Linked DNA regions of Canis lupus familiaris. The protein of the gene in region 3 purifies or fractionates together with the protein of the main gene of each other region. This does not show direct contact. Links are inferred from orthologs where the notes say so. Each region holds a gene or a part of one and is shown on either strand. Other genes may lie near its edges. The genes, in order: MAP3K1, DVL3 and AXIN1.

What was found.
Region 1: the proteins of AXIN1 (region 3) and MAP3K1 purify together in Homo sapiens (affinity purification with western blotting; 5 studies listed by BioGRID and IntAct, with this or other methods). This does not show direct contact. The link is inferred for Canis lupus familiaris from reciprocal best matches to the Homo sapiens genes AXIN1 and MAP3K1.
Region 2: the proteins of AXIN1 (region 3) and DVL3 purify together in Homo sapiens (affinity purification with western blotting; 3 studies listed by BioGRID and IntAct, with this or other methods). This does not show direct contact. The link is inferred for Canis lupus familiaris from reciprocal best matches to the Homo sapiens genes AXIN1 and DVL3.

Annotation. Positions count from the first base shown.
Region 1 is NC_049223.1:43,170,383-43,180,489, forward strand, and holds the end of MAP3K1 (mitogen-activated protein kinase kinase kinase 1), read left to right. Parts: exon of another isoform or gene 1-113; intron 114-1,201; coding exon 1,202-1,364; intron 1,365-2,813; coding exon 2,814-2,945; intron 2,946-3,806; coding exon 3,807-3,949; intron 3,950-4,677; coding exon 4,678-4,809; intron 4,810-5,213; exon of another isoform or gene 5,214-5,321; intron 5,322-5,566; exon of another isoform or gene 5,567-5,651; intron 5,652-6,025; coding exon 6,026-6,175; 3' UTR 6,176-8,640; downstream 8,641-10,107. UniProt on the Homo sapiens protein: Component of a protein kinase signal transduction cascade. Activates the ERK and JNK kinase pathways by phosphorylation of MAP2K1 and MAP2K4. May phosphorylate the MAPK8/JNK1 kinase.
Region 2 is NC_049255.1:17,229,240-17,239,756, reverse strand, and holds part of DVL3 (segment polarity protein dishevelled homolog DVL-3), read right to left. Parts: exon of another isoform or gene 8,955-10,517; coding exon 8,885-8,954; exon of another isoform or gene 8,837-8,884; intron 8,359-8,836; coding exon 8,237-8,358; intron 8,114-8,236; coding exon 8,004-8,113; intron 7,810-8,003; coding exon 7,674-7,809; intron 7,489-7,673; coding exon 7,395-7,488; intron 7,256-7,394; exon of another isoform or gene 7,174-7,255; coding exon 7,104-7,173; exon of another isoform or gene 7,019-7,103; intron 6,440-7,018; coding exon 6,300-6,439; intron 6,116-6,299; coding exon 6,039-6,115; intron 5,924-6,038; coding exon 5,856-5,923; intron 5,702-5,855; coding exon 5,552-5,701; intron 5,140-5,551; exon of another isoform or gene 4,785-5,139; coding exon 4,653-4,784; exon of another isoform or gene 4,468-4,652; coding exon 4,300-4,467; exon of another isoform or gene 1,309-4,299; coding exon 1,093-1,308; exon of another isoform or gene 1,000-1,092; coding exon 589-999; coding exon of another isoform or gene 563-588; exon of another isoform or gene 441-562; intron 1-440. UniProt on the Homo sapiens protein: Involved in the signal transduction pathway mediated by multiple Wnt genes.
Region 3 is NC_049227.1:40,625,792-40,636,308, reverse strand, and holds part of AXIN1 (axin-1), read right to left. Parts: intron 8,238-10,517; exon of another isoform or gene 8,181-8,237; intron 7,778-8,180; exon of another isoform or gene 7,432-7,777; intron 4,764-7,431; 5' UTR 4,681-4,763; coding exon 3,803-4,680; intron 1-3,802. UniProt on the Homo sapiens protein: Component of the beta-catenin destruction complex required for regulating CTNNB1 levels through phosphorylation and ubiquitination, and modulating Wnt-signaling.

The DNA.
Region 1 (10,107 bases), on a different chromosome or scaffold from region 3:
AGATGCTCAACTGAGTCACCCAGGCACCCCTAAAAGCATCATGAATTCTAATGAAAAGCTGAAGCATGATTATTTTAACAAACTATAGAAATGATCCCTGAAAGTATAGTCTTGAAGCATGATTATTTTAAGATGCAACATCAGGGATCCCTGGGCGGCTCAGTGGTTTAGCACTTGCCTTCGGCCCAGGGCATGATCCTGGAGTCTCGGGATCGAGTCCCACATCGGGCTCCCTGCATGGGGCCTGCTTCTCCCTCTGCCTGTGTCTCTGCCTCTCTGTGTCTCTCATATGAATAAACAAATAAAATCTTAAAAAAAAAAAAAAAAGATGCAACATCAAGATGGACCTCCAGGTTCTTGGTCTTTTTTGTGCTTTTTATAAGCAAGAGTTATGGTTTCCTACTCCTTTTAGCAGTGTTACCAGTGCAATATCATCTTGGGATCTCTGTAGCTTACTTTTTATTAATGAGCATGTTTATGAAGATAAAGCTTTCATTTTTTTTTAAAGAATTTTTTTTTAATTTTTATTTATTTATGATAGTCACACAGAGAGAGAGAGAGAGAGGCAGAGACACAGGCAGAGGGAGAAGCAGGCTCCATGCACCGGGAGCCTGACATGGGACTCGATCCCGGGTCTCCAGGATCGCGCCCTGGGCCAAAGGCAGGCACTAAACTGCTGCGCCACCCAGGGATCCCAAAGCTTTCATTTTTTTTTTAAAGATTTTATTTATTCATGAGAGACACAGAGAGGCAGAGACATAGACAGAGGGAGAAGGAAGAAACAGGCTTCCTGCGGGAGCCCAGTGTGGGACCTGATCCCAGGACTCCGGGATCATGCACCCTGAGCCAAAGGCAGATGCTCAACCACTGAGCCACCCAGGCATCCTTAAAACTTTCATCTTTAAATTCTGTTGGTTCTTCCACTAGGCTTTTCTTATTCTATCTTTAGACAGTTTTGGAGGATTGGCTATGTCCCAGTTTTTTCCCTATTTCAGTGCTTCTTAAGCTAGACTCTTTTCTGTAGAATATTTTGACTTGGTTTTTAATAAATTATCTACATTGCATCCATGAACATAAATGCCAACTTCTGTTAATATATAAACTGATTTGAATTTGTCCATTTCAGATCAGATTGTTAGTAAAAATTGTAAATGGAAATTCATCAGAATTCAAAACTTTGTAAACATGGTTATTAAAACAGGTGACATATGTCAGAAATACATCTTCTGAACAAGAAGAAGTAGTGGAAGCATTAAGAGAAGAGATCAGAATGATGAGCCATTTGAATCATCCCAACATCATTAGGATGTTGGGAGCCACATGTGAGAAGAGCAATTATAATCTCTTCATTGAATGGATGGCAGGTATGTTCCTGTTTTAAATTGCCAGTGATAGTACATGAATTTAACTTTCTGGCTGACATTGAATTTAGGAGAAACAGTTTAATGAACACTTGTTTTTAATAAGTAGTTTGAATTTCTAAAAGCAAGTCACCCCTACCTAACATAATATGAACTGTAAATACTTTGTTCTGTCTTACATTGATTGATTGATTGATTGATTGATTGATAGCAAAGCAAAGTTTACAGAGTGATACTACAAAGCTCCCAAAGAGGGAGGGAACCTGAGAGGGTTGGGTTGCCCATTTGTCTTACATTTAAATAAAAATAAGATACTGTCTCTACCTTTCAGAGTTTTTCAGTGTTTCTTTTTAAATGATTGTATAGCACTGTTTTATAGGAATTTTTTTTAAAACCTGCTATGCATAAGACCCATATTTTTCCAGGCGGCCATCATCAAGGAGAGATGTTCTAACTTGACAGTATAAAAATGAAATCAAGATAGAACTTGGAAAACTTATTGTAGGTCAACTAGCACTGACAGAGAAAACTGAACCTTATTATCTGCTTGAACAAATACAGACTAGGTTTTATGTGGTATCATATCATACATACAGTAAGACAAGTAACTTAGGATGTATTGAACGAATAAATGCTTGGTTTAACTTCTTAGATTTTTTTTACATTTGAAGAGTAGATTTCTATTCACATATCCATTCTTTAGTATGTTCCCTGATGTTGGTTGTAGCTGCGTTGATAAGATTGACTATTATAAATAATTCATAGTGAGATTTATTGAGTTTGTGACCTGTCCCAGGTCAGAGCATTCCCAGGAGAATATGAAGCCTAACGCTGGATCTTCTGGCTCCTCCCGTTCGCTCTACCTTCTGCTAAATAACATGTTTAGCACTGTTTACTTAAGTCTTATTTTTTAAGATTTTATGTGTTTGAGGGAAACACAGAGATAGCGACCAAGATAGCACAAGCGGGGAAGAGAGGGAGAAGTAGGCTCCCCGCTAAGCAGGGAGTCCCACTCGGGACTCCATCCCAGGACCACGGGGTCATGACCTGAGCCGAAGGCAGATGCTCAACTGACTGAGCCACTCAGGTACCCTACCCTGCAGCTTAAGTCTTATTACGAAAAGTATTTTATACACCTTCGTCAAAAAGACAGGTGAATTGTACATTGCAAAAATAGTCTGGTGCAAAACTGTTAAGTTTAAAGCTTTCTGAAATCTTGACCTTTCAAAAAAACTAGTTTGTGAAAGTTTGATGAAAATGTTTGACAGGTTTTGAGATGACTGGAATGTGTTAGTTTTTAAGTCCATTTCGCTTCTGATGCAGAGTATAAACTTAACATTTCAAATGTGAATGTCCGCTCTTATGGTGCAAGCTTATGTAACCAAATTGTAATAAGCGGTTTTAATTTTGGCTTAAGTTTATGATAATTAGTATTATATGTTTGTCTTCTAGGGGGATCTGTGGCTCATTTGCTCAGTAAATACGGGGCCTTCAAGGAATCAGTAGTTATTAACTATACTGAACAGTTACTTCGTGGCCTTTCCTATCTCCATGAAAACCAGATCATTCATAGAGATGTCAAAGGTAGGAATTCTTTTAATTACTACCTACTAACAATAAATAGAAAACAAATGAGAGTTTTACAACTTGGACCTTTATTGGCAGTTTCTAACTTAAGATCAACTCTATCGGATTGTTTTTCCTGAGTAACTCAAAATACTAGAATTATTAGAAGTGAAAGGAACCTTGGAGTCATGAAATCTGCCTTCCTCAGAGAGACTGATTTTTCCAGTCTCACTGCTAATTGATGGCAAACCAGTATAAAAATCAGGTTTCTGATTTCTTGGTCTCATGATCTACTACTGCCTCCCCAACCGTTCCTGTTTCTAGTTTTATTTAGAATAATTGGGGTATCATGAGCTTCTTTTGAGAAAAATCCTTTAAGATCTTTTGCAGTTTATCTTATTAAGAATAACTGGTTTTCTGACATGTATGTGTGACTAGTATTCAAATAATTTTATAACATTAACTTTTATGAGTTATAATTAAGGAATTATACTATTTTGAATTGGTCTAGGTGAGTATGTTTCAATAGAACTGTCTTAAAATGGAAACCACTAAAATTTTAACTTTGAGGGAAGATTTTTGTTGGGAACATTAAAGGTTTTCAACACTTAGTAACATTTCATTAAATGTCTGCCTTGATCTCCTTTTGCCTTGTTACTTTGATCTTTCCCTCTGAAGATTTGGATTTTATTTTTACATTGTTGATACCTGTGTGCCTTTTTAGGAAGAATGAAGTGAATCAAGAGGGGAGATTTCTCTGAACCCTTCCATGCCCACTTCCTTTGTTACTGTCCTATTTCATTAGTAGTATTTTACTGAGTTTTGAATCTATTCTTTTGCTTTTTAACATACAAGGTCATTTGCTCTTTTTGTTGACAGGTGCCAATTTGCTAATTGACAGCACAGGTCAGAGACTGAGAATTGCAGATTTTGGAGCTGCAGCCAGGTTGGCATCAAAAGGAACTGGTGCAGGAGAGTTTCAGGGACAGTTATTGGGAACAATTGCATTTATGGCACCTGAGGTAAGAAGCAGCTGTGAATGTGATGGCAAAGTAGCTGGCGTTCCATGTGACAGAATTATAGCAACTTAGGTTGCAGTGTTGTTCCGTATGCGCTTACCAATGAGAAGATTATGGCTCTAAAATAAGGTTTTAATGATATCCTTGATTTCAGACTCTTAATCCCTGACGTTCCATCTTTGTCTTGACAAAATTTTAAAAGAGCAGGCTTTAGTAGACTTGCTTATAAGACCGTTGCCAACAGAGAATTTTGGGGTAGTTGTACTACTTGTTTTATAGTATGCCCAAAGTACACATAATTAAAAATCTTAACAATTGCTCTCTCTCTATTCCAAAGGGAGATGAGCACACAGAAGCTAGTCTTCACAGTAGTGAAGAAATTTCACGTAGTATTGCTGTTCTGAATCAGGCTTCTTCAGTTGTGTTCCACACTCTTCATGTTTATACGTAGTGATAATTGGTTGTCCTCTGGCCCCACAGTGACTTAAGTACACAGGGGCTGCTTGGATATTCTGTGATCTGACTCCTTTTCAGAATCTCACAATTCTCCAAAGTACTTTTGTGCCACGTAGGAGATTAAGCTTGTTAATGAAATAAATGAGACATCAAGGTAGTCCATGGAGTTGCTGTCTGTACCATTGTTTTGGTCTGAAATAAAAACCTAGAATACATAACTACAGAATATTTTTCTCTTTTGTTAATGAGTCATATTTCTAAATTAACTATTTTAGGTACTGAGAGGTCAGCAGTATGGTAGGAGCTGTGATGTATGGAGTGTTGGCTGTGCTATTATAGAAATGGCTTGTGCTAAACCACCTTGGAATGCAGAAAAACACTCCAATCATCTTGCTTTGATATTTAAGGTAACTATAATATAAAAATTACTTTTTCTGCTGTAATTGGCAGGAGGCAGATTTTCATGGGTTCCCCTTAACTCTCAATCTAATGTCAAAGCATGTATCCTCCTTGAAATAAATATGCATATATGTATCTCTTGGAATTCATACGGTGTGATGAATGTTGGTGGCATGTACAGTCAGTCCTCATTTTTCAAGTAGTTAGGCTCTATAAAGTCACTTCGAACAATGAGTTAGCGAATAATGAATCATTGTTCTTAGGTGAAATATGTACTAAGTATATCCAACTTTCAAATGTAAAAATGTAGAGCTCTTTATGGACACAATCCACAAATCTTTAAAATCTGATTTACTATTTTCTGTATTTAAAAAATTTACACGAGTCAGGTACCAAATCCCGTCTGTCCTACCTTTCTGACAACTCTCAAATCCATTCTGTCCATTTCCAGTGGAGAAGAGTATAGTAGTTTAGATTTTTAGCTTCTGATCCAGACATGTGCCAGTTAAAAGCTCAGGCTCTGGAATGATACAGACCTGATTTCAAACCGTGGTTCCAGCCTTTAAACTTTAAAAAGCCATGTGACTCGGGAAATGACTCCGTCTGCCCTCTGTTTTCTTGGTTATAAAACATGTATAATTACAGCATCTACTTCATGGGATTAATATGGGAATAAAATCTCTGGGCCTGAGTAACTCGAAATCCAGTGCACCAGTACCTCAGTACCTCCCAGCACCTCCCCCAGTCCTTCCCACACTTCCATACCTTCCCCATTCAGTGCAGTTGAGTTTCTGATGTACTAAGCGGACTGGCCAGGTGTGGTCTCAGTAGCTTTGAATAGCTCTCTGTGCTGAATGACAGAACATGTATGATGAAGCAAGGATGACAAACCATCATACTGCAGAGTATGAGGAGAGCATATAGTATGAAGTGAATACTTTACCTGTCTAATCATTTTGATGTACTTAGTCATGTTCATTTGAGACAAGGAAAACCATAGATCCATCTGCTCAGGAAGTGTTTGATTAAATTCTGAAATCCTAAAATTTGAAGATTCTTAGAGGAAGCCTCCCATCCAGTGGGTGAGTTTTTCCAGAGACTCCCTGTCAGAAGCAAGTCCACCAATTTCAGCTTCAGTTCTTCTATGTACAGGATGCACGTGTACTTCTAGATCAGAAGCTCCTATTGTGGAAAGTTTAAACACACTGGTGGTTTTTCTTACAGATTGCAAGTGCGACGACTGCTCCATCAATCCCCTCACATTTGTCTCCTGGTTTACGAGATGTGGCTCTTCGGTGTTTAGAACTTCAACCTCAGGACAGACCCCCGTCAAGAGAGCTACTGAAGCATCCGGTCTTCCGTACTACATGGTAGCCAATTATACAAATAAACTATAATGGAGACAGGATGCTCAACGAGAGCAAAACTTTTGTGGGGAACCACGCTGATAATCTGCTGGCCTTCATGCCACTGAACAGCTATGAACAAGACCAGTGGGGAACCCTTACCTAAGTATGTGATTGACAAATCATGATCTGTACCTAAGCTTAGTATGCAAAAGTCCACAATTTGTGCACAAACTGTAAACCGTGCCTTTCAAAGAACTGGCCATAGGTAAACAGGAAAGCAACGAAGTTTTGCATGACTAACAAGCATATTTTGGTGTTTTTGGAGCACTTTTTCAGCAATATTAGCAGCTGAGGGGCTCAGGATCTATTTTAATGTTTCAATTTTTCTTCCATTTCATATCGTGATGACAAGCAGGGGGTTCTACAATTCCGTTCAGTTTTTTTTTTTTGTCACTGGCTATAAATCAGTATCTGCCTCTTTTAGGTCAGAATATGCTATAAGTAGCAGTAAATATATTTTTAAAAGTTGATAACTTCTTTATGAACCACAATTGACCTTTATTTTTTAAATGCCTGGGCAGTTGTGGTTCACTGTGCATTTTACTGTTGGCCCATTCATTTCGTTTTTGGAAATTATGGTTCTATATTTTCATTTTACCTTCATTTTGTTTAATATTCAGGGAAAGGTGATCTTTTCAAACCAGAAAAAAAAAATAGAACTAGGTGTGAACTAGGGTTTATTAAATATCTTGCTATTGCAAGAGGTTTTTTTTTTTTTAATACAGATTTAATTTTGTTTGTTTTAAAAATTGGAATATAATAAAATACTACCTTCACTGAGTCAGTCACTGCTCTTTTCATGCAGGTTAAATATAAATTAAGTGAAAATCAACATTCTCTGTGATGCAGCTCACAACCAAGATCAAGATTACCTTGAAATTGTTTTTTTTAATGTATTGGTTTCTTTTGTAGGAAACTTCACACCACTGAAGTCTTACTTTGTATGTAACAATCCATTGTTCATCATCACCACTAATAATATTATTAAACTGCTATTTTCCTTCTACCATGCATCATCTCCTTACAGTAGGCCTGGCTGATACTTAAAGGAAAATTAACTAATGACTCAACTACCAATGAGTAATAGTGTTTTTACAAAATAAATTTGCTTGTAACTTTGAAAACATGATCAGAAAGAAAAGTGAAATTGAATTTCACTTACACACTAATTATTGGATTTTGCACAATTATCTAATGGTTTTCATCTGAGTTGAATTCAGATGCATGGAATCCTGAAGGAAAATGGCAGCTCTTTTATCTTTTCGTAAGTCTTTTAAATCAAGTACTGATTAAATATTTAATACAACTTTTTGAGATGTTAAGTTTTAACTCTTCAGAAGCCAGTTGAATTATTGCAGAGTGAAACAGAATTGGTTATTCTCAAAGACTCAGGATAAACTAAATAAGCTATATAGAGTACATTTTAAATGTACATCACAAATTGGAAGTAAAATAAGTTACAAGATAAGTTTACAGGGATATATTGCATATAATTTTTAAAAAGCAGTTTTTTTTTTTTATGTGAATGTGTCTCTTAGTGAAATTTTACATTCCTTTGTTTTGGAAGATTGGCAATATTTGAAGAGTTAAAAATAGTACCGAAATGTGAAGTTTGGTAGCTCTAAATGTGTTGTACTTGACTGTCTTTTTTTTATTTTCTTCTTTTTTGTGTGTGTGACTACTTAGAATTTTCACAACCCTAATAAGATTGTTTCCGAGTTTCTCATGTGCAAGCTTTAATGGATGCACTCTTGCCATTTTATGTACTGGAAGATCACTGGTCAGATTAATACTGTGTCTGACAGAAATGTAAACTGTATAAACTGAGGAACCTCAGCTAATCAGTATTACTTTGTAGATCACCATGCCCACCACATTTCAAACTCAAACTGCCTCTAGATGTCCAAATCCATTGTTTGAGTTTGTTTGCAGTTCCCTCAGCTTGCTGGTAATTGTGGTGTTTTGTGTTTTGTTTTGTTTTCAATGCAAATGTGATATAATCTTATTTTCTTTGGATCAAAGCTGGACTGAAAATTGTATTGTGTAATTATTTTTGTGTTCTTAATGTTATTTGGTACTCAAGTTGTAAATAATGTCTACTGCTGTTTATTCCAGGTTCTACTACCTCAGGTGTCCTATAGATTTTTCTTCTACCAAAGTTCACTTTCACAATGAAATTATATTTGCTGTGTGACTATGATTCCTAAGACTTCCAGGGCTTAAGGGCTAACTTCTATTAGCACCTTACTGTGTAAGCAAATGCTACAAAAAAAATCTCTGGGTTAAGAAAATTTGGCTTAAATGTATCCTTTGTTATTTTAAATATATCAAGATATTTTAATTAAAATTTTTACCCCATTGAACCAATTTTATAGTATTTGTACCTATTTTGGTGTTTGTCTTTATAGTAAATAAAAGTTTTTGAACAAAGGTTGGAATTTTGTTTATTTTGCCAGGTGCCCAGTTATGTCCTGTATAGCTAAAGGATCCAGACCAAGATCATGTGTTCCTCCTACTTGTCAAGTTTCTTCAGTTTCATTCAGTCCAGACTCATTCCTCAGTTTTTTCTTGACCTTCAGGACCTTAATATTTTTTAAGATTACAGGCTAATGTTTTATAGAGGTCCTTCGCTGGAGTTTGGTGCTTCCTCATGCCTGGATTCAGAGTATGAGTTTGTGACCGGAATGTGGGAGGGGTGACGCTGTGCTCTTCTTGGTGTGTCTTACCAGGAGGCGCTCCAAAGCCAATCTGTGCCAGTGCTGGTGATACGGTGATCATCTGAGTAGGCCTCACTCACCACTATCAAGTTACTGTTTCCCTTCATAATATCTAGCTTTATATTAAGTATTGTGCAGAGATGATACTTTGAGACTATGTAGTTTGTTCTTCATTCAACTTTAACCCTCTGCTCTTAGCTTTCCTGAATTCTGAATTACTACTCTGACACTTGCCAATTGCTGATTTTCTAGTTCTTGCATTCTTTCTGTATTTTATTAATGGACAGTTTGCTATAAAGAAGAGCTTCCTCTTCTCCCACTTATTATTCATTTATATAAAAATGGATTTGTGGATTCCTATTCAGTGAGAGAAAATCCATTACTGTCATCATGTATTTGCTCAAATTGTCATTCTCAGCCATTGGATGCCTCTTGAAAGCCAGCTTCTGTGTCCCAACTGGCAAGCCACCAGTATTCATTGCTCTTGGGTGTGCCTTTGTCACTGGCTCCCAGACCTTCCTGGTAGACAAAACTACTATATATATTCCAAGTAGTTTCTCTTGTGCACAGATGAGAAATATACATACATACATACACAAACCATGAGTTCATACCAATCTAATTTCAATTTACCACCACTATGGTTCTTCATTCAAGCTTCCCCTCATTCCATATTTTTAACACTTCCCTGGACAAAAAAAAACCTGACCCCCATGTACCTCAATATATGGTATATTAAGATCCATATATTAAGATCCAATATATGGATCTGTTCAAGATATATATATGATATATACATATATATATATCAAGATATATATATATCAAGATATATTCATATATATGGATCTTAATCTGTTCAAGTCCTCCCCCTAACCCCCTGAGTAGCCAATCTTCCTGATGCCCATCAGGCTTCCTTCCCTGCATGGCCCCAACCCCTGCTGGACTGCCTTTGTTCCCATTTACCTGTGGGCTTTAATACATATTTGTTCCACATATTTTTTTTAAAGCCATCTTACATGTATATATAAAAGTTGTATTATACATATTGCAGCATATGTATACGATATATTTTATTTTTTAGAACAGTTTTAGGTTTACAGCAAAACTGAGCAGAAGACTCAGAGATTACCCATATGCCTTCTGGCCCCATTACTCACAGCCTCCCCCCCACTATCAA
Region 2 (10,517 bases), on a different chromosome or scaffold from region 3:
GGATGCAGCACTGAAGCAGTGGCTGGGGTGGAGTAGGGTGGGTTGGGCAGTTAGAGGGGGGGTGGATGAAGCAAGTATTTTTTGTTGTCAGTAGTGCAGGGAAAAAGTTAAGAGATTGGCACACATGCTGGAGGCGATGCGGTTAATGAAGGGTGGATGTAGCTGGAAGGAAAGGTGCGAGGTTCCTGAGGGGAGAAACGTGGGGATAAAGGGGTGAACAGGCCCTCAGGGGGTCTGCGGGGGTCAATTCTTGAAGTGTATGTGGGGAATAAGGAGCAGCACCAGCAAGTCGGGTCCCAGTGACATGAAGGGTCCTGGGAGTCCTGCGCAGCGGTTAGTGGGTAGAGGGACAAGCTGGGTCCGGTGGCAGGTTAGGGGCCGCAGCGGCAATTGGTGGGTGCACCCCGCCCTCACTGCGCCCAGCGAGCAGTTAGCGCGCCTGAATTTAGTTCAATTTATTTCCCTTTCAGGTACCAGACAAAGTAAAAAAGATGGACGGATGGAGAGAGGGACGCAGCCGCCCAGGTGTAGGGGTGGGACGGAAGTAGGGGAGGGGTCCTGTTCACATCACATCCACAAAGAACTCACTGGGGTTTCCCATGGCCATGCGGAAGGACTGTCTGCTGGCGGTCAGTTCAGGGGGCACGGAGGCCAGGTCGCGGCCCGGTGGGGCTCCTGGGGGCCCCATGGCCGCGGGCGGTGGGGGCATCATCAGCATTGGGGGACCGTAGAGAGGGGGTACGCCAGGGGGGCCGTAGCTCGGGTGCGTGTGGTGGCTGCGCAGGCTGCTGGCCATTGAGTGGTGGCTGCGGTGGCTATGCTCGCTGGCGGCAGGACCCGAGCGCTCGCTGGGTGCCCTTTCCCGAGGCCCCCGCAGGCTGCTGCGGGTTGTGTGGTCCGACTCGCTGCCGCTGCCGCCCGACTTCGAGTCCCCCGCCTTCGGGTCCTTCTCCTTCCGCCGGTCACTGCCGCTACGGTTGGAGCCACTGCTCCGGCTGCCTATAGGCGACAGGCAGGCCCCCAGCGGGGCATGTTCAGAGCTTGCAGAAGCAGTTTGGGGCTGTGCACCACCCTCCACCCCCTCCACCTTACCTTCACTGTGCTGACTGCTGGCGCTGCCCCCACCATAGCTGTACCCCAGTTCTGGGAAGCCTGGGTGTGGGTTGTAGGGGTGTGGGGGTGGCGGGTACTGGTAAGGGAAGGCCATGGGCCACGGCGCAGCCCCAGGGTGTGGCAAAGGGGCCAGAGTGTCCTGGTCAGAGGCTCCGCTGGAACCGTCGTGATCATGGAGGGACAAGTTGGCCATGTCTGTGGAGGGGAGGGGAGGCCCAGATGAGTTGGGTCTGTGCCCTGCCCCCACACCCCTAGGTCAGGAGAGAGAGGTCCCCAGTCTAGGTCGGTACATTTACTATGACACCTAACAGCAGTGGAAGTTTATTCCCTAAATGAGAGGAGGCAGAGGTCAGAGATCTCTCACTTCTTCAGACCCACCCTGTGCCACCCACCGGAGATGGTGGAGAGGGAGACTGCAGACACAACACCAAGAAACACCTTCCTCAGGAAGGCCCTGAGTCCCCACCCCACTTCAGATGCTCCAGGCAGAATCCTGACACCCCACTCCCAGTCCCAGGGAGGCCCCCTTCCAAGTATTTGACAGTTTCCTCTCCTTCCTCAGTAAACTAGATGGGCAATGTTCTCTTCTGTTCACTTAAGGGAATATGAGAAACTGAAATAGCAGACAGGTATTGCAAACCTGCAAGTCATTGGGCATAATACAAAGCGCTTCAACTCATGCAAATGTTACCACCATCCTATGAAGAGGGAATTAGTCACATTTTTTCCAGGTGAGGAAAGTGAAGTCCAGAGAGGTTAAATGACCCACCTGAGGTCAATCCAAATTGTAGCCAGAGCAGAAGCTAGGAGTTGCTTACTTTCGTCTTACCTTTCCAGGTGAGTCATTAGTAAGAAGTAGGGAGCAGTTTGGGGAAATTTAGGTGAAATTTTGCCCTCACCCTTCACCTAGGGCTAAAAAAAAAAAATACCCATTATAGGCCAAAACAAACAGGCCTTTCAGAGCCTCCCCATACAAAAGAAAGCCCTTGGCTCAGATCGATTTTCTGGTGCTGCTGTGGAAGGTGGAAAGGGATCCGAAAGAGAACAACTTAGGTGCCTCCTCTGTGTCCTCCACTCCATTCCCAGCCAGGCCTCATTCTTGACAGCACTCATCTCAGGGTATTAACATTACTTGTTTCATGTCTCTTGCTCCCACAGTAAACTGTGCAGTCCTTAAAGGCAAGGCTGCCCCGACCAATATTGGAATTACCTAAAAGGGGATACAAGGGGCCACCAAAGAGATTACCTGGCTGGGACACCCCTTGCTCACACCTCATCATACCAGGTCCCAGAGCTCTGAGAGAGCTAGAGTTGCCCTCCAGGCCAGGTGCTGGATACAGATGGAGCCCTTCGTTCCAAGTCCTTAAATAAGCCAGCCCAACCTTCCAGAGGAGAAGAGGTCAGGAGAGGTGGTCTGTGGAATCTACCGGCCAAGCCATCAACATGTTAAGGCCTGCAGCTAGCAGGGTGTAGTGGTGGTGAGAAGCAGGGGCCTGCCCTGGCTCATGCCCCAAGAGCTGGTGACTATTTCAGCCTCCAGGCTATTGTCCTGAAGGGAGTGACTGTGGGTTCCTGGGGATTCCAGATCTCCAGCTCTTTCCTTTGAGCCTGCCACATTCCCAGCTGAGGAGACCCTGGCCAGTGAGAAGCAAAAGACCTGTCAGCATATCTCTAACCTGGGCTTCTGGGGGCCTTGGCCATGGGTAGAAGACCCAAGAGGCTCCAGGGATAGAACAACATCTCTTAAGCAAAAATCACAGCTGTCTTGAGAAGCTATAGGGATCCTCGGAGGTTCAGGGCCAGGGCTGACTTATTCTAATGATGATAATAATAACCACACAGGATAGAGTAAGAAGCCATTAATTATAAGATGCACCCCAATTTCAGAGATACTGAAATGTGAAAGAAATGTTCATCTTAGAATCAATTAAGTTTATGAATAATGGAGAACATTTTAGAGCACTTACTGTGGGCCGAACATGGTGCTCAAAGCATTATACAAGGTCTTAACCTCTAAACAGCTCTGAGAGTTTCTAGTATTACCTCCAACTTACAGATCAAGAAATTAAGGGAATGAGAGGCTGTCACTTACTCATGTTCACAGTGAGAGCAAAGCTAGGATTTGAACTCAGACCTGTCCAACTTCAAAACCCTATGCACCTATCACCCTCCATCATGAACTTATGCCCTGCAGCAATAGCCTTTCTAGTCTTAGATCCTAATCTGAAGCATTTTAAAAGTTAGTTTTTGGACTTTAGCCAGTAAGCACCACTGGACTAACCAAAGACTCCCTGAGGTAGAGGCGGCTGCTGGGAGTGGGCCTCTGCTCCCAGCCCTGAGCAATGTTGTTCTGTTTTGAGGACTCCCCTTCCTTCCCAAGGGCTATCTACATGCTCAGGAAAAGAGGGGGTTCCCTGCACACCTTTACTCCTTAAAAGCCCTCATTAGCTTTGCACTCTCTCGAGATCAAGCCCAAACTGCTCGATGCAGCTTGCAGAGTCCCTCTATAAGATGGCCCTGACAGTTTCTCCAGTTTCATCCCAAGGCCTGGCCCACCCTCAAGGGTCTGAGAAGGCTGGGGACCTGGGGCCTCAGGCCAGCCCCAGGTCTGGCCTTGGTGGAACCTGCTTGGTGCTGGGAGGGTGATCAGGGGCCAACCATAGGACCTTTGTTTGACTCTGCTAGGACAATGCTTCGGCAACACCACACACCTACACAGCTCCAGATGGTAGTAAGTAAAAGGGCTCTAGAGCCAGAAAGACCTGGACCCAAGGCCTAACTCCTCTGCATCTGGCTGTGAGAATGGGTGGACTATTGAACTTCTCGAAGTCTCAGTTTCCTCAGCTGAAATAGGGATAGTGATCCATCTCCCTGAAGGTGAGGAGGCGGGGGTTGTGAGTACTGAGTGAGAGCAACATGACGCTTAGAAATAACCTGCATGGTGCCAAAAACAGAGGAGGCACTTTGAAAATGCCCACCCCAAGATGGGGACACAGAGCAGGTGAAAAGGCCCAACTGGGCTCTGCTTCTACTAGAGAAGGAAGCCTGGGTCAGCGCTCAAGCTGGGCCCCCAGCTTGGCTGCCCACTCCTGCTTCCCATGGGTGTCTGGGGGTCTGCTGCCACATCCCTGGGCACCTCCCCACTCCCAGCCAGGAGACGAGCAAGGAGGTCAGGGAGGCACATACTGCCACAGAGGTCACCGAAGATGTAGTAGCACTGCTCAGAGAAGGTGATCTTGTTGACAGTGTGGCGGATGAAGCCGGCTTTTAGCAGGTTGCTGGCATACTTGCGGGCCTCTCGCCGGTCAGTGAAGCCTTCCACGTTGTGGTATAGCCAGTCCACCACATCCGAGCCTAGGGGCAAGGCCGCCACTTGAATGGGAGGCCCACCTGACTTGGGCTCATCTGACCTCACAGAAGCCACAAGGCTGGGGCTGGTTCCAGCTCAAAGAAGTGGACCAAGGGAGATCTTCAGCCCCCAGCCTGCCCTTCCCAACACTCCCCACCCTGCCCTTCATCCCACCATGGGGCCCTCTCACCGATGAAAGCATTGGGGATGGTAATCTTGAGCCACATGCGGTCACGGACCTCCAGCCCAGATTCAGGGGAGGCCATGGCTTTTACAATGGCAGCCATGTCACTGTGGATGGACAGGTGGAAGTCATCTAGGCCTGGGGGTGGGAGGCAGAATGGTGAGGCAGAAAGGAGCTACAGAGTTAGGTAGAGAAGAGTCTGCATTGCAGTTCTACCACCCAAAAATCATGGACCAATGTTGAACGCACATTACTGACTTCTAGGACACTTAGTTTCCTCTTTTGTAAAAATAGGGACTTTAATATTTATTTTGCAAGGATTTTTTTTTTTTTTTAAGTAGGCTCTATGCCCAATGTGGAGCCTGACACAGGGCTTGAATTCACAACCCTGAGATCAAGACCTGAGCTGAGGTCAAGAGTCCAATGCTTAACCAACTGAGCCACCTAGGCACCCCATATTTTGCAAGGATATTTGAAGAGAGAACTAAATAATGTAAGTGAAGGTGCTTAGCATACTGTATAATATGAGTGCTATAGTAAAAATGGCAGTTTTTTTACTGAGTGCTTACTTTATGCCACATACTAGAATTGAAGCTTCATTTATATCCTCTCATTAAACCTCCATCCGTCGCCTCAGAACCTGGTAGAGTGCATATCATTGGTCCCATTTTACTAGAGGAAACTGAGGCTTGCTGGGTGTTCAGTACAGGTTCAGAGGCAAACACTGTTTAGTGAGGGTCGGGTGTCCACTGAGGGAAGAAGCTGCAGTGTGAGGTAGCTGGAATGAATTCAGCCTCCTCTCCAGCCCGCTATGACTTTTAAGCAAGAGTCTCCATGTGGGCTTTAATCAGTCCCTCCCACCGGACCGCATCTGCTGGGCCTAGGGGGCAGGGTTGGGCACTCACGCTCTGTGTCAGGGATGGAGCTGGTGATGGAAGAGCTGGTGGAGGTGATGGTGCTCAGGGAGGGGCTCATGCCATAGGCAGGGAAGGTGCCGGTCATGGCTGCAGTGTGGGAGACCCAGGCTGCAGGGTCAATGGGCCGGATGGGCTCACCTGCAGGGAGGATGAGAGGTCAGGGGCTGTCCACCCTGCCCACTGCCAGGCCCAATAGGGTAGGTATGAGGGTTCAGGCAACACAGAAGGAAGGAGAGACAGGGTTCACATGTGCCAAGCACCAGCTTTAGGGCCAAGTCCCCCAACCACTTACTCCTGGGCAGTGTGAAGCAACCACGTGGACTTGGGTCCCAGCACTTGGCTACAGTCAGGGTGATGGGCCTGAAAGCAAGGGTGTCCCTAGTAAGGGCAGGGTACGCGGAATCTAGACCAATCCCCTGGCATGATGGCCAGAAATTCCTGCCCTCTCCTTCCCAATGTCCCATGCCATCCATACCCCGGTTTGTGCACAATCTCCCGCAGCACCCGGACTGCGTCGTCATTACTCATGTTCTCAAAGTTGATCTCATTTACCTGGGTGAGAGGACCAGAAGTGGGATAAGCAGCTGGGTTGGGGAGGTGAGTAGGGAGGCTGACCTTAGTGGATCAAGAGGTCTTCCCCCTACCAAGAAGTGGGCTCTAAATGAGCAGGGTGCAGGGGACAGGGATTATCTCCCTACTCCCCATCCACACCACCATTCCAGGTGGGCAACGGTACCTGCAACAGCATATCTCCTGGCTCAATGCGTCCATCTGCAGCCACAGCCCCACCCTTCATGATAGAGCCGATATAGATGCCTCCGTCACCACGCTCGTTGCTTTGGCCCACGATAGAGATGCCCAGAAAGTTGTACTTTTCTACAGAGAGTGATACAACCTTAAGAGGGAAACAAAGTTCCTACCCAGATTCTGAACCCCTTATTAGAAAAGGGTGGAAAGGGATTGGGATGAACATTCACTGAACCTGAATCAGGCCCTGTGTTCAGCATGGTCAAGCATACTTCCATTTAGTCCTTGCTAGCTCTGCTGCAGGGATTCTTAGTCCCATTTTACAAAGCAGGCAACCGAGGTTCGGAGAACTTCGATAACTTTTCTAAGCCATTAAGTGGCAGAGCCAGGATTCAAACTCAGACTTAAATTCCAAGGTTGGGGCTCTTTTCACTACATCGAGCTATCTCCTAAAGACAGTACCTAAGGCAGAAATCAGAGAACAACAAGCAATGCTGAAAAACGGAAAGGGGATAGGAATCAGAAATTACTTCCTCCAGGAAGCCTTCCCTGCTGTCATCCTCTGCTTCCACACCTCTCTGTGCTTGTCTCTGCCATAGCCCTGATCTTGGGATATGGAAATGACCAGTTTATTTACTAGTTTATGTTCATGAGAGAGCGCTCCTCAGGGGCAGGAAACATTAACCTTTTTTTTTTTTTTTTTTTTAGGAAACATTATCTTGTGTTTCGCTGAGCTCCTGCCTGGTGTCTGGCATACAGCAGGAGCTCAAGAGTATTATTTCACCAGACTCACCCATGTTGAGAGTGACTGTGATGATGTTGAGTGACATGGTAGAGTCCGTGATGCTGCTGAAGGATGAGGACTGGAATAGACAGAGGCCCCATCTGTCGCAGTGACCGCTGGGGTGGCAAGAACTCACTGCTCCCAACTAGCTCCTCCTCGAGGTGAGCCCTCAGCGCTCCCTCCCCTCTAAGGCTCAAACGCTGGCCCGATAGGAGGGGATCTAAGGAAGCACAACACCCTGGGTCTGCCTGGACAGGGCTCAGTGTACCCCCACCCATCCTTGGCATCTCAGGCCCGTACCCGCTCAATCCGTGAAACCTTCTGCTTCCTCCGCCGCCGCTTATGTCTTCTCATCAGGCGTGAGGCGCTGCTCTGTTCTGTGGAGCTGCTGAACCTGGAGGGCCCACAGTCGTTCCCCACCAGGCTGGCCCAGCCCTGCCCCATAAGAGGCACTGCGGGGCCCAAGTCCCCCATGCAAAACCCACTGCCCTCCCAGGGTACCACCATCCTGGGAGGTGAGGGGGTCAGGACTGTTCAGGGGTCACCTGCCCCAAAGTACCAATGAACCCAAAGCCCCACCTGCTGGTGGAGTCATCCTCATCCGAATCAAAGAAGCTGGTGGTCTCTAACTCGCTGCTCATAAGGGTGGATGAGCTATCATAACCCCCTGGTTCTCGCCGCCGTTCCCCCTTTGCAGTTCCATTTAGCCGGGTTGCTGTGGGAATAGAGGCAGCTGGGTTCGCAGTGCTGACACAGGAGGGAAGGGAGGACAGAGGGCTGGGCTAAGGGCTGTGCTGCGGGCAGGCACATCCAGAGCTCAGGAAAGGGCAGAGAAGTGGGTAGCTGAATGGAAGCAGTGAGGAAGGTGTAGGGGTGGGGAGGGGAGACATCTGTTTAGGGAAGACGCACTGTGCTCTGGGCCGTCCCTCCTGCGTGGCCGCTCACGCTGGGCAGATACCAAGGAGTCCGTCTCTGTGTCATTGTCCAGGTTCTCCTGGCTGCCTCCACCAGCATGAGGGCTACAGGGAAGAGAAGACTTGGTGGGAGAGGGGGCAGGCTGGGGGCTCCCTCCTCCCCCAGCCCTTGGCTGAGCAGATGCAGCCCTCTCCCATGGGCCCGCTCCACTCTCAGGTCACACTCACTGGAATGATGGGGGCCGGGAGTCCCCAATGCCTCCTGTGCGCTCCATGGGCGGTGGCAGGTCTGATGGGTTGTCAGCACAGAAGGGGGCTGCCTCTGGGTGTGAGCCCTCAGCAGACACCAACTGATGGGGATAGAATGGGTGGGTAGTGTGGTACAGGGGCACCAGGGAAAAAGCAGATAGTTGGCTTCTGGCCGGGCATGCAGCCTTGGGGAGAATGAAGCAGGGGGCATGGAGGAGAAGAGATAGGACTGTGAAAGGTCAGCTGTGATGAGGAACGGACTCACTGCTGGTAGACGGTGAGGATGGGGGGCATGAGCTATTGTAGCGGGATGGGGACAGAGAATAAGGGTCAGTGGTCCAAGGGAGAAGTTGGCTGGAAGCTCAGGCAAAGTGCCTCAAAGGGCAAAGGAGACATTTGTGTCTCCAATGAGTGTTTCTCACCCCTTCCTTCCCCACATTCCACCCCCACCCCTCACCTTTCACTAAGGCTACAGAATCCGGGGTGAGAAACAGTTCAGGTAGAAAACTCAGGGGAAATTCAGATACTGAAGGATAAACCCACCAGCTACAATCTTAGTAATGCTTTTCCTCTGTCTAGCCCACCACAGGAACGCAAGAAGAGAGAGGGCTAAGGAGGGCTCCTTACCCAGGACACCACCCGGCCATTGAAGCAGGGCAGCTTGGCATTGTCGTCAGAAATCTCCTCCTTCACCACTCTGCAGGGAAAGGGTGGGGGTGTCAGAATGAGCTTTCTGGGGTAGAAATGGAAGTGTCATCACAATCCTAACTCAGGGGCTCCTTTCTCCACCCTAAACTGGGAATCATGCCACTAACCTAAGCCTATTCAAGTGGGAGCAGAAGTGGGGAACACTTAGGGACAGCTCTTTAGCACCACCAGGAAGACAACAGCCCTGTCCAGGCCATGTGTCATCCTAGGGTGTCCTCTCAGTCATCAGGTGATTGCAAATTACACCTGACAAAGTGTTATCTGCCCTGAGAGTGGCTACTCCCTAGAACCTGAGAGTGCTTAGCCCAGCCCAACATAGCTCTTCTGGGCTGGACTTATTCTTTCCCTCTGACCCTAAACAAGGAAAAAGCACACCCTTATTTCTGTCTTTCCCTTCTTGGGAATCTTGACATTCTTTTGGGAGGTGTGGATGATGAGTTTAGGAAAGAGAAAGGGGAAAGGTATTTACTGAACATCCTCCACTGCCATTATGATAATAGTACAAACTGCTCTCATTTACTGAGCATGTATCATGGGCCAAGCACTAAGCTACTTGCATCACTTCTTTTTATACTCACAGCATTGCTAAGATAGATACAGTAACTAAGGCTTAGTAGGTTCAGAGATTCACTTACAGTCACACCACTAATAAGAACTGGAATTTGAATCCTGGTCAGTGTGATTCTTCAGCCTTTATTCTTACCTATTATACCATCTTATCTTCCTGTAGTAAGAATGTGTAATATTCACATCACCTTCATTGTATGGACAAGATCCTCATTTTATGAATAAAGAAATGGAGAAACATTCAGTAGACATGGGAGAAACTTGTCCCAGGTCACAAAGCTGGAAGATGTCAGAGATGGAATTCAACGCCAAGCTTTCCTGACTCCAAAACCCATGGTCTTTTCATAGTATTTCACATTTTTCCCCATACAGTGACAGGTGATGTGGATCTGTGTGTGTGGCGCGGGTGTGGGGAGACAGTGATGTGGGATATGGAGGGGGTGGATGTGTACACAGGCATGTAGTTTGGCTAAAGGGATGCATCAAGGCAAGAAGTCAGACCATGATTACAGTTTGGGGCCAGGGAAAGGAACGGAAAAGTTTGATGGCTGCAGACTGTGTCAAATAACCCAGGAGTACAGAGAGGGAAAGATGTGATCGGGGACAAGACAAGATCGGGGACACATGCCTGGTTGTGAGCAGAGAGAAGATAGCAAGGAAGGAAGCTGGGAAGCCTAGTCCTGTTCTTGGAGCAGCTTCTGCCCAGAGCCGGGAACGTGCTTGGCTCTTTGTGATGCTCACATTCTTGGACTCACCGCCAAGTCTGAAGACGGAGCCTGCCCTTCTCCCTCCCACCCAGCTCTGGTTCCTCCACCATTTCCAACCCCACAAAGACCCTGGGAAAGCAGCTCTAATTATCCTGGTCAAGCCATAATGGCAGAAAGCCTAGGGATAGAATGTGCTAAAAAGAAGGGACACAGAGGTAGCTCAGAGTCACCAGCCAGTCTTGGCTACAGGGTACCCGAAGCTTGCACCCCATTATGGG
Region 3 (10,517 bases):
GGGTGTATTATAAAGAACAGCCACGTGCACGCACACATGGCCAAATGAAGCCTGACGCTCAGGCCTCCCATGGGGACATGGGGAACAGCAGGGCCAGTCAGGAAGGCTGAACTGCACCAGAGAGCACAATCGGAGGAGCCCAGACAGTAGGTAGGACCGACGGAGCCGTGGGGCTCAGGTTCAAGAGACCCTGCGGTCATCCTGTCCTAAGTAATCACCCCACACACACCTCCATGCAGAGTCAATGCTTAGGAGAGGCACCTGCTGCCCACAGGAAGTGCCTCCCCCAGTCAGGAGATTTCCAGTCCAGCACCGCCACCCCTTCCCTGTCCTCTCCACCCCAATATTCCTTTGCGGGACCACGTCCACCACTGGGGCAGTGGGCACTTTACGTCCCTCCAGGTTTCCCCTACTTGGTGTTAAGCCCAGCAGCACAGTCCCGGGCCCCTGCACCAAGATTATGCTGGAACAGCCACGGAGGCACACACACCGCCCTCTGGGCCTGCAGAGCCAAGTGCAGGACCTCCCGTGAATGCTGGGGGCAGCGTGTGCTACCAAGCCAGGGAGCCCGAGCCCGTGGGTGCTGCTCCAGCCTCCCTCAAGCTGCGAGCACAGCGGCCACGGAGGGCAGGGACAGAGAAGCGGCAGCTCCTTACCGATCTACGCGCGCTCACCTTAGGACCCGGCAATCGTGCTCCACGGCGTTTACCCAAAGGAGGTGAAAACTTCTGTCCACACCAAAAACCGCACCACAGGTTTACTGCAGCTTTATTAATGATTCCCAGAACTTGGGGCAACGAGATGGCCTTCAGCAGGCGAGCACACGAAGGAACGGAGTCCGTCCGCACCACGGAGCGCCACCTGCGCTCACGAGGAACCACCCAGAAGCCGCGAGGAGACATGGAGGGACCTCCTGTTACCATGTGAAGGAAGCTACTGAGAAAAGGCACACGCTGTGTGATTCCAACCACAGAACATTCTGGAAAAGGCAAAAGCGACGGTGGGGGAGACAAATGCAGTTGCCTGGGGTGGGGTGGGGGGAATGAGCAGGCTAAGCACAGGGTGTGCAGGACGGTGACCCTACTCAGCCGACACAATGGTGGCGGATACGTGTCATCGACGGACCATCCAGGCCGCAGCGCGCCCGGCACCAGGCACGCACCCCGGTGGAGACTCCAGGCTTTGGGTGGCAGTGGTATTGATGTAGGGTTATCAGCTGCAACAGACACACTGCTCTGTGAGGGGTACTGATGTGGGGGAGGCTGTTGGGGGGGACGGGAAACCTCTCTACATTTTTGCTGATAACCTGAAACTGCTCTTAAAAAATAAAGTCTTTAAAAGAAAACTGGCTGGAGTCCAGATCAAACCACATCTGAAACTGGCCCTGCCTCTAACCTTTTCGTTGATTTAAGTTACCTAATCCCCTTCACTGTTTAAGGCAGGGTAGGCTGGATTTCCTGTGATTCCCAGCCTAGTGCACCCAACTGCACACCCCAGCAGGACAAAGCAGAATGTGCTGGACCTCATACCTGTCGGTGCTAGTAAACGATGACCGTGACATCAGAGATCTTCCACTCACTAAAGTATCAGAGCCAACCTCGAGCAGAATGGGGTTCAACTGTGGCTGGGACTCCCAACTCCTGGCTTCCTCCGCACCAGCAGCTCCACGACAGGCAAGTCAAAACTAAAATGTGCCACAGTCCTTACAGCTCAACGCACTTAAACAAGTAAAGCCAACGTACTCTAGTAATTTAAAAGCAAAGCTGCTGCTTAAGATCAAGAACCAAGGGGATCCCTGGGTGGCTCAATGGTTTAGCGCCTGCCTTTGGCCCAGGGGGCGATCCTGGGGTCCCGGGATCGAGTCCTACGTCAAGCTTCCCGCATGGAGCCTGCTTCTCCCTCTGCCTATGTCTCTGCCTCTCTCTCTCTCATGTGTTTCTCATGAATAAATAAATATTTAAAAAAAAAAAAAAGAGAGATCAAGAACGAAGAGCAGCCCTGGTGGCTCAGCAGTTTAGCGCCTGCCTTTGGCCCGGGGCATGACCCTGGAGACCCAGGATAGAGTCCCACGTCAGGCTCCCTGCATGGAGCCTGCTTCTCCCTCTACCTGTGTCTCTGTGTCTCTCGTGAATAAATAAATAAAAAAAAAAAAAAAAAAAAAAAAAAAAAAAAACGAGAACTGAAAAACATACAGAATAAGACTCAGGAAACTTTGCCTTTTTTTTTTTTTTTTTTTTTTTTTTTTTAAATAATCTGTATATCCAAACTGGGGGGTCAAATTCACAACCCCAAGGTCAGAAGTTGTACGCCCCACCAACTGAGCTAGCCAATTCTGATTTCTGATTTAAAGGATTCCCAAGCCTTGGGGCACCTGGCCGGCCCAGTCAGGGGTGCATGCGACTCCTGACCTTGGGGTTGTATGTTTGAGCCTCACGCTGGGTGTAAGATTATTTAAAAATAAAAATCAAAAAAATAAAATAAATAAAATAAAATCGAGAGATACACACACATTCAAAAAGAAAAAAGAAACAAAGAAATAAATCAGAATTTAACTAAAAATTTTTCAAAAAAATAAAAATAAAAATAAAATAAAAATAAATAAATAAATAATTTTCCCCTGAAGCCCAGGCCTCGAATTTGATTCCATCTTAAAACTATTCTAATTAAATCATTTTAGGTTGGGTTTTAAGAACCATGGTAGTTACTGGCCTTACTTAGAATAAATTTACGGCAAGTCTTGTCCTAAAAAGCTTGCTATATCAATAACGTTAAGCTTAAGACAATGAGCAAAAGGCACACAAACATTACTTTAAATGGCGTATGTTGAACTGCACCACTTACGTGACCCTTAAACCTCATGAACATTCAGCCAGTTTCTGTACCAGCGTGAGCCTGAAGAAACCAGCAGGTTTTAACAGCAGCGCGGGAGGGGAGAGGATTCGGACTCCTGACTGAATCAGCAGGGGTCACGCGGGTTCCCGGCTCCCAAAGTTTCACACACAGGTGTCCCCAGTGCAGGGAGAGGAGTGGGCAATGGGAGCACCCTGCCAACGGCGGCTAGCACCGGCGAGGGGCTCCAACCCGCATCAGCGAAGTCTCCGGTAAGCACAGAAGGGACAGCCGAGGAAAGAACGAGGAGCCAGGTTTCCCAACAGCAAACAGCTCTCGACAGCACCACGGGCACCTCCCACGTCGCAAGGCGCCACATGCGCAGGCGCTAAGCACAAAATCAAATGCCACCGGGACTGGGCCGCACCACAGCTCTTAATTTGTGAGCAGAGGGGACAGGGTCCCCCAGCACGATCCCCAGAGAAGGCCCCAGAGCGCTGTGGCTACCTGCTGCGGCAGCCTCCCCACCAGCGCTGCACAACCTCCAGGAGGAATCTGGGGAAACGATCACGAAAGACAACCATCCAGAATTCTGGCCGCACTGACGCTTTCTACATCCACTCCTCTCTGTATTAAGCCAAGAGGATTACACGTATGGGGTAAGTCCCCCTGCACGCCACAGGCCAAGTCTGAACGCCACGATCTCTGGGACATCCGAGGCTCTTCGTGACATACAAGGCCGTACACTTGGGACTGTTCTTGCCAAAGGGCCCTCAACTTACACGTATTAAAACCTTGTGCTGCAAGCGTCAAAGTAGCAAGAGGAAGAACCACCGCCACGCTCACCCCCAGCAGCAGGAGCACGCCCACGTGGGGCCTGGGACACAAGACCACTCCTGGCTGCCACCTGTGCCTGCCAGCTGTCCAAGGCTCGGACGTGAGCACAAACACGGCCGCCTTGCATCCGACTCACCTGAATTCTCTGCCTTCGCTGTACCGTCTACTTGAGGAGGCCCGCGGGGCGGCCGTCTCCAGAAGCAGCTTCTGTGTGAGCCTGCCGGGGGGAGCAGGGTCTCTGCCACTGTCTTCGTCCTGCTCTTGGTCACACTTCCATTCCTCATCTTCGTTCAGAGTGGGCAGGTAGCCGGGTATGCCCTTGCCCGTCCCTGACCCAGAGCTCTGGTCGCTACAGAGCTTCGGGCTCTCCGAGCCTGTCCTCGTGTATTCCAAATAAATATCAGACTTGAGGAAAGAGGGGTAGGTGTTCTCCTCCATGGTGGACTGGATCTCCGTCTGTGCCTGGTCAAACATGGCCGGATCGATGAGCTGCTTGACGATGCAGTCCTTTATGAAGCTCTTGGTGGCCGGCTTGGTCTGGCGGGACACGATGCCGTTGTTATCGAGGATGTACTTGCGGTAGATGGCCTTGGCCAGCTTCAGCCTCTTCTCCTCGTTCGAGTCACAGGGCTCCAGCTTCCTGAAGCCGCTGCAGGCAAACCAGAAGTCCAGCAGGTCAGCACAGTCCTCCTGCTTCAGGAAAGTCCTAAACAGGTTTATCCCATCCTGATCGTCCAGCAGGGAGTGCAGCGACTCGGCCCACTTCAAGTATGGCGGGGTGGGGGAGGCGCTGCCCTCAGGCTCGTACCCCAGGTCCAGGTCGGAGCGCCTCGGAGTGGCTGCTGAAGTCTCACCTTTGACCCCGGCACCTTTCCCGGAGCAGAAGCTGTGGCTGACGGGCCTGGGGTCTGTGGACACCAGTTCACCCTCCTCACCAGGCACTGGGGGGCGTGGGGCATCTTCGGTGAAACTTGCTCCGAGGTCCAAAGGGAAACCCTGCTCTTGGATATTCATTTTGGGACTCTGTGCGTCAATGAACAATGAGCGCTGCACCCTAATACATCAGTACTTATAGCTCCAAAGTGAATCAATCTGTCCTGTTGAAACCATTAAGAGGACAAGGATTAGGAAAGGTGGGTCCATGGAAACATGACCACAGAGGTTTTCTCAAGACAAGACTCGTAATGATGCCCTCCCACTCGAACTCAAAGCCAGAAATTCAGTTTAAATTTTCAGTCTTTCGTCACAAGGTTTATGCTATATTAAAACAATTTGTGAGAACTTTTACAACCACAGGTACGTCTCTGGATCTCAAAAATGAACGCCTAGAACAGGGACACAGAGTGCCACTCCCCTCAGGTGTCTTTCTGCCAGAACATCACGGACACAAGCAGCCTGGGGACCTCCCATCTCAGCCACAACAAGCCCTTCCCTGCAAGCTCTGGGAAGCCAACAGGCCCGGAGAAAAGAGATGTGCTTTCTAGTGTTCCGGGCTGCAAAAACTGGGACGAGAGCCGGTTCCTCACACGTAAGATGAGGATGACCGCCCTACCTGCGATGCGGGATCACCGTGATACTCAGGTACGGAAAGGCAGGCTCGCCGCACAGCACACGGCAGATAGTCATCTGCTCCCCACACCTGTGGGCCCACGGCCACTGTGCTTTCTGCCTACCCCGTCGCTGCACGCCTCATATGCTTCCTAACGTGTGCAAACACGCAAGGACGTGTTCCTTGAGCTCTCAACACACACCTGTACGAACAGTGGTGGGTCACCCAAGGACTCCCCACACACATGGTGGCCATCCCACATCACAGTGTGGACAATATTAAAACATGCTTCCACCACAAAGCTGCCTCTGACCTCGCCTATAAGGAAAGCGCCCTCCTGATAGCAAATAGCAATTTAGTATTCTGAAGAACGGAGGAGACCCGGAAAAAGAAAATGAAGTCCAAATGCAATCACAGCTTTTAACTAAGCGAGCACACAGCTCGCGTGATTCACCTCCATAAGCTCAAATCCCAACTACACATCCTCTCGGGGGTTGGGGACTACAGGTTGCGTGGCTGCTGCGACAAGCCCCCCTCAGGTGTGAAGGAAGGCTCTCCCGGGTCGGGACTCTTTCACGGTCTCCGGTCCTCCCTGACATGCCCCACAGGAGCTTGCCCACGAGCTGGGCTGTACCGCCCCACCTGGCGGCCCGCACTCCTCAAGGTGGTCTGGCTAGAAATGGGCTGGAGAGAAGCGTGTCAGCTCCAAGCACCCAGAGCACTGAATAAGCCAGAGGAAGAAAAATAAACACCTTAAATCTAGTACCAACACCAAGGGCAGCCCTCCCCGCCCACCGCTCCCCACCCCTGGCCACCAGGCGATCCGCCCCCACAGCTGCATCCTCACACTGCACGCACTGCGTGTGCCAGCAGATGCTGATGGCTAGAAGCGAAAAGCCCCCAGAGACAGAGAACGGGTCACAATAACGTGCCCCAGGTGACATTTCTACAGCTAATGACTTCTCGTGAAAACTACCGGGCAGTATGTAATCTCAGCAGGAACAGCCTGCTTCTTAAGGTCAAGGCCCACGGGCCGGGCACCCCGCTGTCACGGACGACTCCGACGACGGCAAAGTCCCTCTCTTTGAGCCCTGTCAACGTGAATGGGCACCTGTGGTGTCTCAGCTCCACACTGGCTCATGGACACCTGATGTCGTCCTGTTCAGGACGCCTTCTTAGGAAGGAGGGCCCGCGCCCAGCGCCCTGAGCCCTACCCTCAGACACATTCCAGTTCGCCAGTCCTGAGAAAGAACCGAGTCACTGCAATTCAACGGGAGCTTAATTACAAGTCACCGTCGCCTGCTCTGGAGACGCAACTATCTCCCGTGTAAGTTACTGGTAGCAGCCTGATTAAACGTTTTCTGCAGGACCCACAACACCTAGCACACTTATTCACTGGCACGAACACATACGACAATTGTCATAGATGCCAAACGTTAGCCCTCCATAGATGCTGAACTACAGCAGGACAAAAACAGCAACAAAACTCAACATCTACCCCTTTATTCACAAAGCTGGCTATCTTTAAAAGCTAACATTTTAATTCACGTGTGAACAAGGCTCCCCCCCACACCGCCCTGATCATTTTAAACTATTTTTCATTGCCCGCGAGAAATAGCTCTTATAACTCACATCTGTTTTCGGCTGTCAACTGACAGACGATCCTCGGTGGCCCCAGAAGCACAAAGACACCTCTCCAAGTTACTGACATTATGGAAACACGCTCTGATTCCCGCCGTCCCTAGGTTCCCACAGCAGAAGCACACCCAGCGTTTTGGTGTACGCACGTGCATACCACACATAAAGCAGTTACGTTAATTCAGGTCAGAGGCAAATGCCCACAAGCCTTGAATCTGGCCAACAGCCTGGAACCACCATCAATAAAAGGATTCCATAAAAGTCCTCCACGGCTCCGACGAATGCTCTACAAGGCTGATAGGGCATTTAAAATCTCCTGTAGTCACTGCTGAGCCATACCCCCGTGGAGCCACAGCAGCCAGCTCCATGCTACACGTATAGACACATGTTCATCCCACTAAAACCTAACTTCATAACTTTTGATTTATAGGAGCCTGGAAGCAATAGAGCATGACTGCGACGCTGTCCTGTCCGGTACCTAAACCCTGAAAAGCTTAGGGCCGCTGTTCCACAAGGTGATCTGCTCCTCCACCTCCTAAATTTTCAAGGACCAATGTAGCCCAAAGGACTCCACTTACTTTTCTGACTCTAGAAACTCAAGAAGCGTCCACACCTCCTGAAAATCCCACAGCAACGCCGTTCTCTGCGCGCCTGTCCATTCTCCTGCCTGAATGTCAGGTTCTCAAAACTGAAACTCAGGGCTAGCACCCGAGTCCAGGTTCAGACCATGTGTGTTCTCCAAAGAAGGGCCTCGAAGCAAGTGTCCGGAGAGCTTCCGTGCAGAAGCAGGGTGAGCACGGGGGCAAAACGGAGGGGCAGGGATGCGCGGCAGGGGCTCCTCATAAACCACCCCAGACCTGCGCGGGGAGGCCCTCCGGGAACTGGGGCTCCCCCTCTGTCCTCAGCGCTAAGCAGAAAGTTTCCCCGCCTGGCCGGGCGGCTCTGCTCCGCGGGCACCGAGCTCCAAGCTGCGGGGAAGCGCTAGGGGCTTCGGGGGAGCGGAGCCGGTGCCCGGGGTTCGGGGTTCGGGCCTCGGAGCCCCGCGCGGGGCCGGAGTCACGGGGCCGCCCCAGGACCTGCGCCCGCGCACACGCGCATCCCGGCCGGGCCCGCGGGCGGCCCCGCTCACGCCCACCCCCCGGGACCCCGCGCACCGCCCCCCGCGCACCGCTCCCGCCCCGGCCCCGGCCCTCGCAGCGCGTCCCCGCCGCCGCCCCGCACGCCCCGAGCCCGCACCCACCGGCCCCTCTTCCGGGTCCCGGCCCGCCCGGCCTACGCGGCCTACAATGGGCGGCCCACAGGCCCGCGCCCGGCCCGCACGACTCACCCGCGGCGGCGGCGGCGGCGGCGGCGCCCCGGCCCGGCTCCGGGAGCGGCGCGGCGCGGCCCATGCGCTCAGCGGCGGCGCGGCGGGCGGGACGGGGCGGGGGCGCGGCCCCGGGCGGCCCCCATCGCAGCGGCGGCGCGGCGGCCCGGAGGCGGGCGCGGGGCAGGCCGCGGGGGCGCCGCCGAGGCCGGCCGCCCGCTCTCACCCGCCTGCACCGGGAGACGCGGCTCCGGACCGACTCCGGCCGGTCCTGCGGCGGCGGCGGCGGCTGCCGCGATCGCTTCCCCGAGCGGGGAGCCCGAGCCCAGAGCGCCGAAGCCCAGGCCGGAGCGCCCCCGCCGGCGCCGCCCGGAAGTGCGGGGGCGGGGCCGGAGCGCGGGGCGGGGCCCCGGAGCGTGGGGGCGAGGCCGAGGACGTGGGGCGGGGCCCGGAGCGCGGGGGCGGGGCCCGGAGCGGGGCCGAGAACGTGGGGGGGGCCGAGAACGTAGGGCGGAGCCCGGAGCTCGGGGGCGGGCCCGGAGCGTGGCCGAGAACGTGGGGGGGGCCCCCGGAGCGTGGGGGCGGGGCCGAGGACGTGGGGCGGGGCCTGGGGAGTAGGGGCTAGGCCGAGAACGTGGGGCGGGGCCCGGGGTGTGGGGGCGGGGCCGAGAACGTGGGGCGGGAACCGGAGCGTGTGGGAGAGGCCGAGAGCGTGGGGCGGGGCCCGGAGCGGGGGGCGGGGCCGAGGATGTGGGGCGGGACCCGGAGAGTGGGGGCGAGGCCGAGAGCGTGAGGCGAGGCCGAGAGTGGGGGGTGGGGCCAAGAGCGTGGGGCGGGGCCCCCGAGCGTGGGGGGCGGGGCCGATATGTGGGGCGGAGCGCGGGGGCGTGGCCGAGAGCGGGGGGCGGGGCCCGGAGCGGGGGGCGGGGCCCCGAAGCGTGATCCAGACCGGAAGTGAGGTCGCCCGGAGCGTAGGGCGGGGCCAAAGGCTCGGGGCGGGGCCAGGACGCGAGCGTTTCGGATACGTGGGGCGGGACTGGCACGGGACGCACCAGCCGGAGCGGGGGGCGGGGCGAAGGCTTGGGGCAGGGACTTGGGCGGGGCCGGAGCACCGGGCGGGGCAGCCTTGAGGAGGGGATCCGGGAGCAGGAGGCGGGGCCCAGAGCGTCGGGGAGGGACCGCGAACACAGGGCGCAGCGGAGAGCGTAGGGCGGAGCCGGAACGTGGGGGCGGGAGAAGGACGGGGACGTAGCCCGGGGCGGGGGCGGGGCCTAGAGCCCCGGGCCCAAGCACTTGCAGGGACGGACGGCGCGGAGGCGGGGCCCGGGGCAGCGGCGGGCGCGGGGAGGGGGCGGGGCCGCCTGGTGGGCGGGGCCAGGTCCCAGGTGCGGGCGTCTGGGTGGGCCTGGGCGGCGAGCGGCGGTGTGGCGGGAGCCCGTGCGGGTGCTGCGGAGCCGCCCTGCCCGGCCGCCGAGCGCCTGGCTTTCCTTCCTACGCTGTCCCTAGGTCATACTGGCGCGGCAGCCTGGGGAGCAGGGCTTCCTGCACCACCACCTCTGCCCTTCACCGTCGCCATAGCAGCTGTTGCCCGACCTGCAAGCACAGCCGGCCAGCTCCTTGTCTACCCGCCCCGGGCCCTTCCCTAAGGGAAGGATGTGGCACTGAAAGGTTACCACTGCCCCTCAGGAATTGCTTCTGGCACCCCCGTGACCACCTAGGGCCTGTGCCCCACAGAGCCACGAGGCCTGCACCTGAAGAGATGCTCCCCGCAGTCTCCAGGGCAGGGCCGTGCCCCGTCCAACAGGCCACCACATCTTCTCCTGGACCCTGTTTGCCCTCCCGGCGCGTCCTCATCTTTCAGGCTCCATACCAGTGCACAAGTCCTGGCTTGGGGCTCCACGGGCCACAGCCAGCCTCCCACCCAGATGTCCACGGGTGGTGCCTGTCTGGGGTGTGCAGGTGTAGGGACACACCAGCCTGCCTCAAGTCTCAGCACAGCATCTCTCCCAGGGGGTCATAGGAAAGGGAGGCAGTGAGGGATGAGGACAACCAGGGACGCATCCCCAGCCTACCGAAGGCCCAGACCACCCAGGGGCAGTCGGGGCTATAGATGAGGGGCTATGCGACCAAGCCCACACTGGCCCCACTAGGGTGATCACAGTGGGGGTCACTCTCACCAGCATCCAGCTGGGACAGTCCCAGGCTCCCCAGTGCAGCCCCTCCCCCACTCCGTTCAGCCTAGGAGTCTTAGAGACCACGAGACACAGTGGGTGGCCTTCTGGGCACAGCGGGGTCTCTGTGGGGTATGGGAGTCCTGGGTGGGCTGGACAAACAGCAAGAGCTCCCAGACACTGGCCC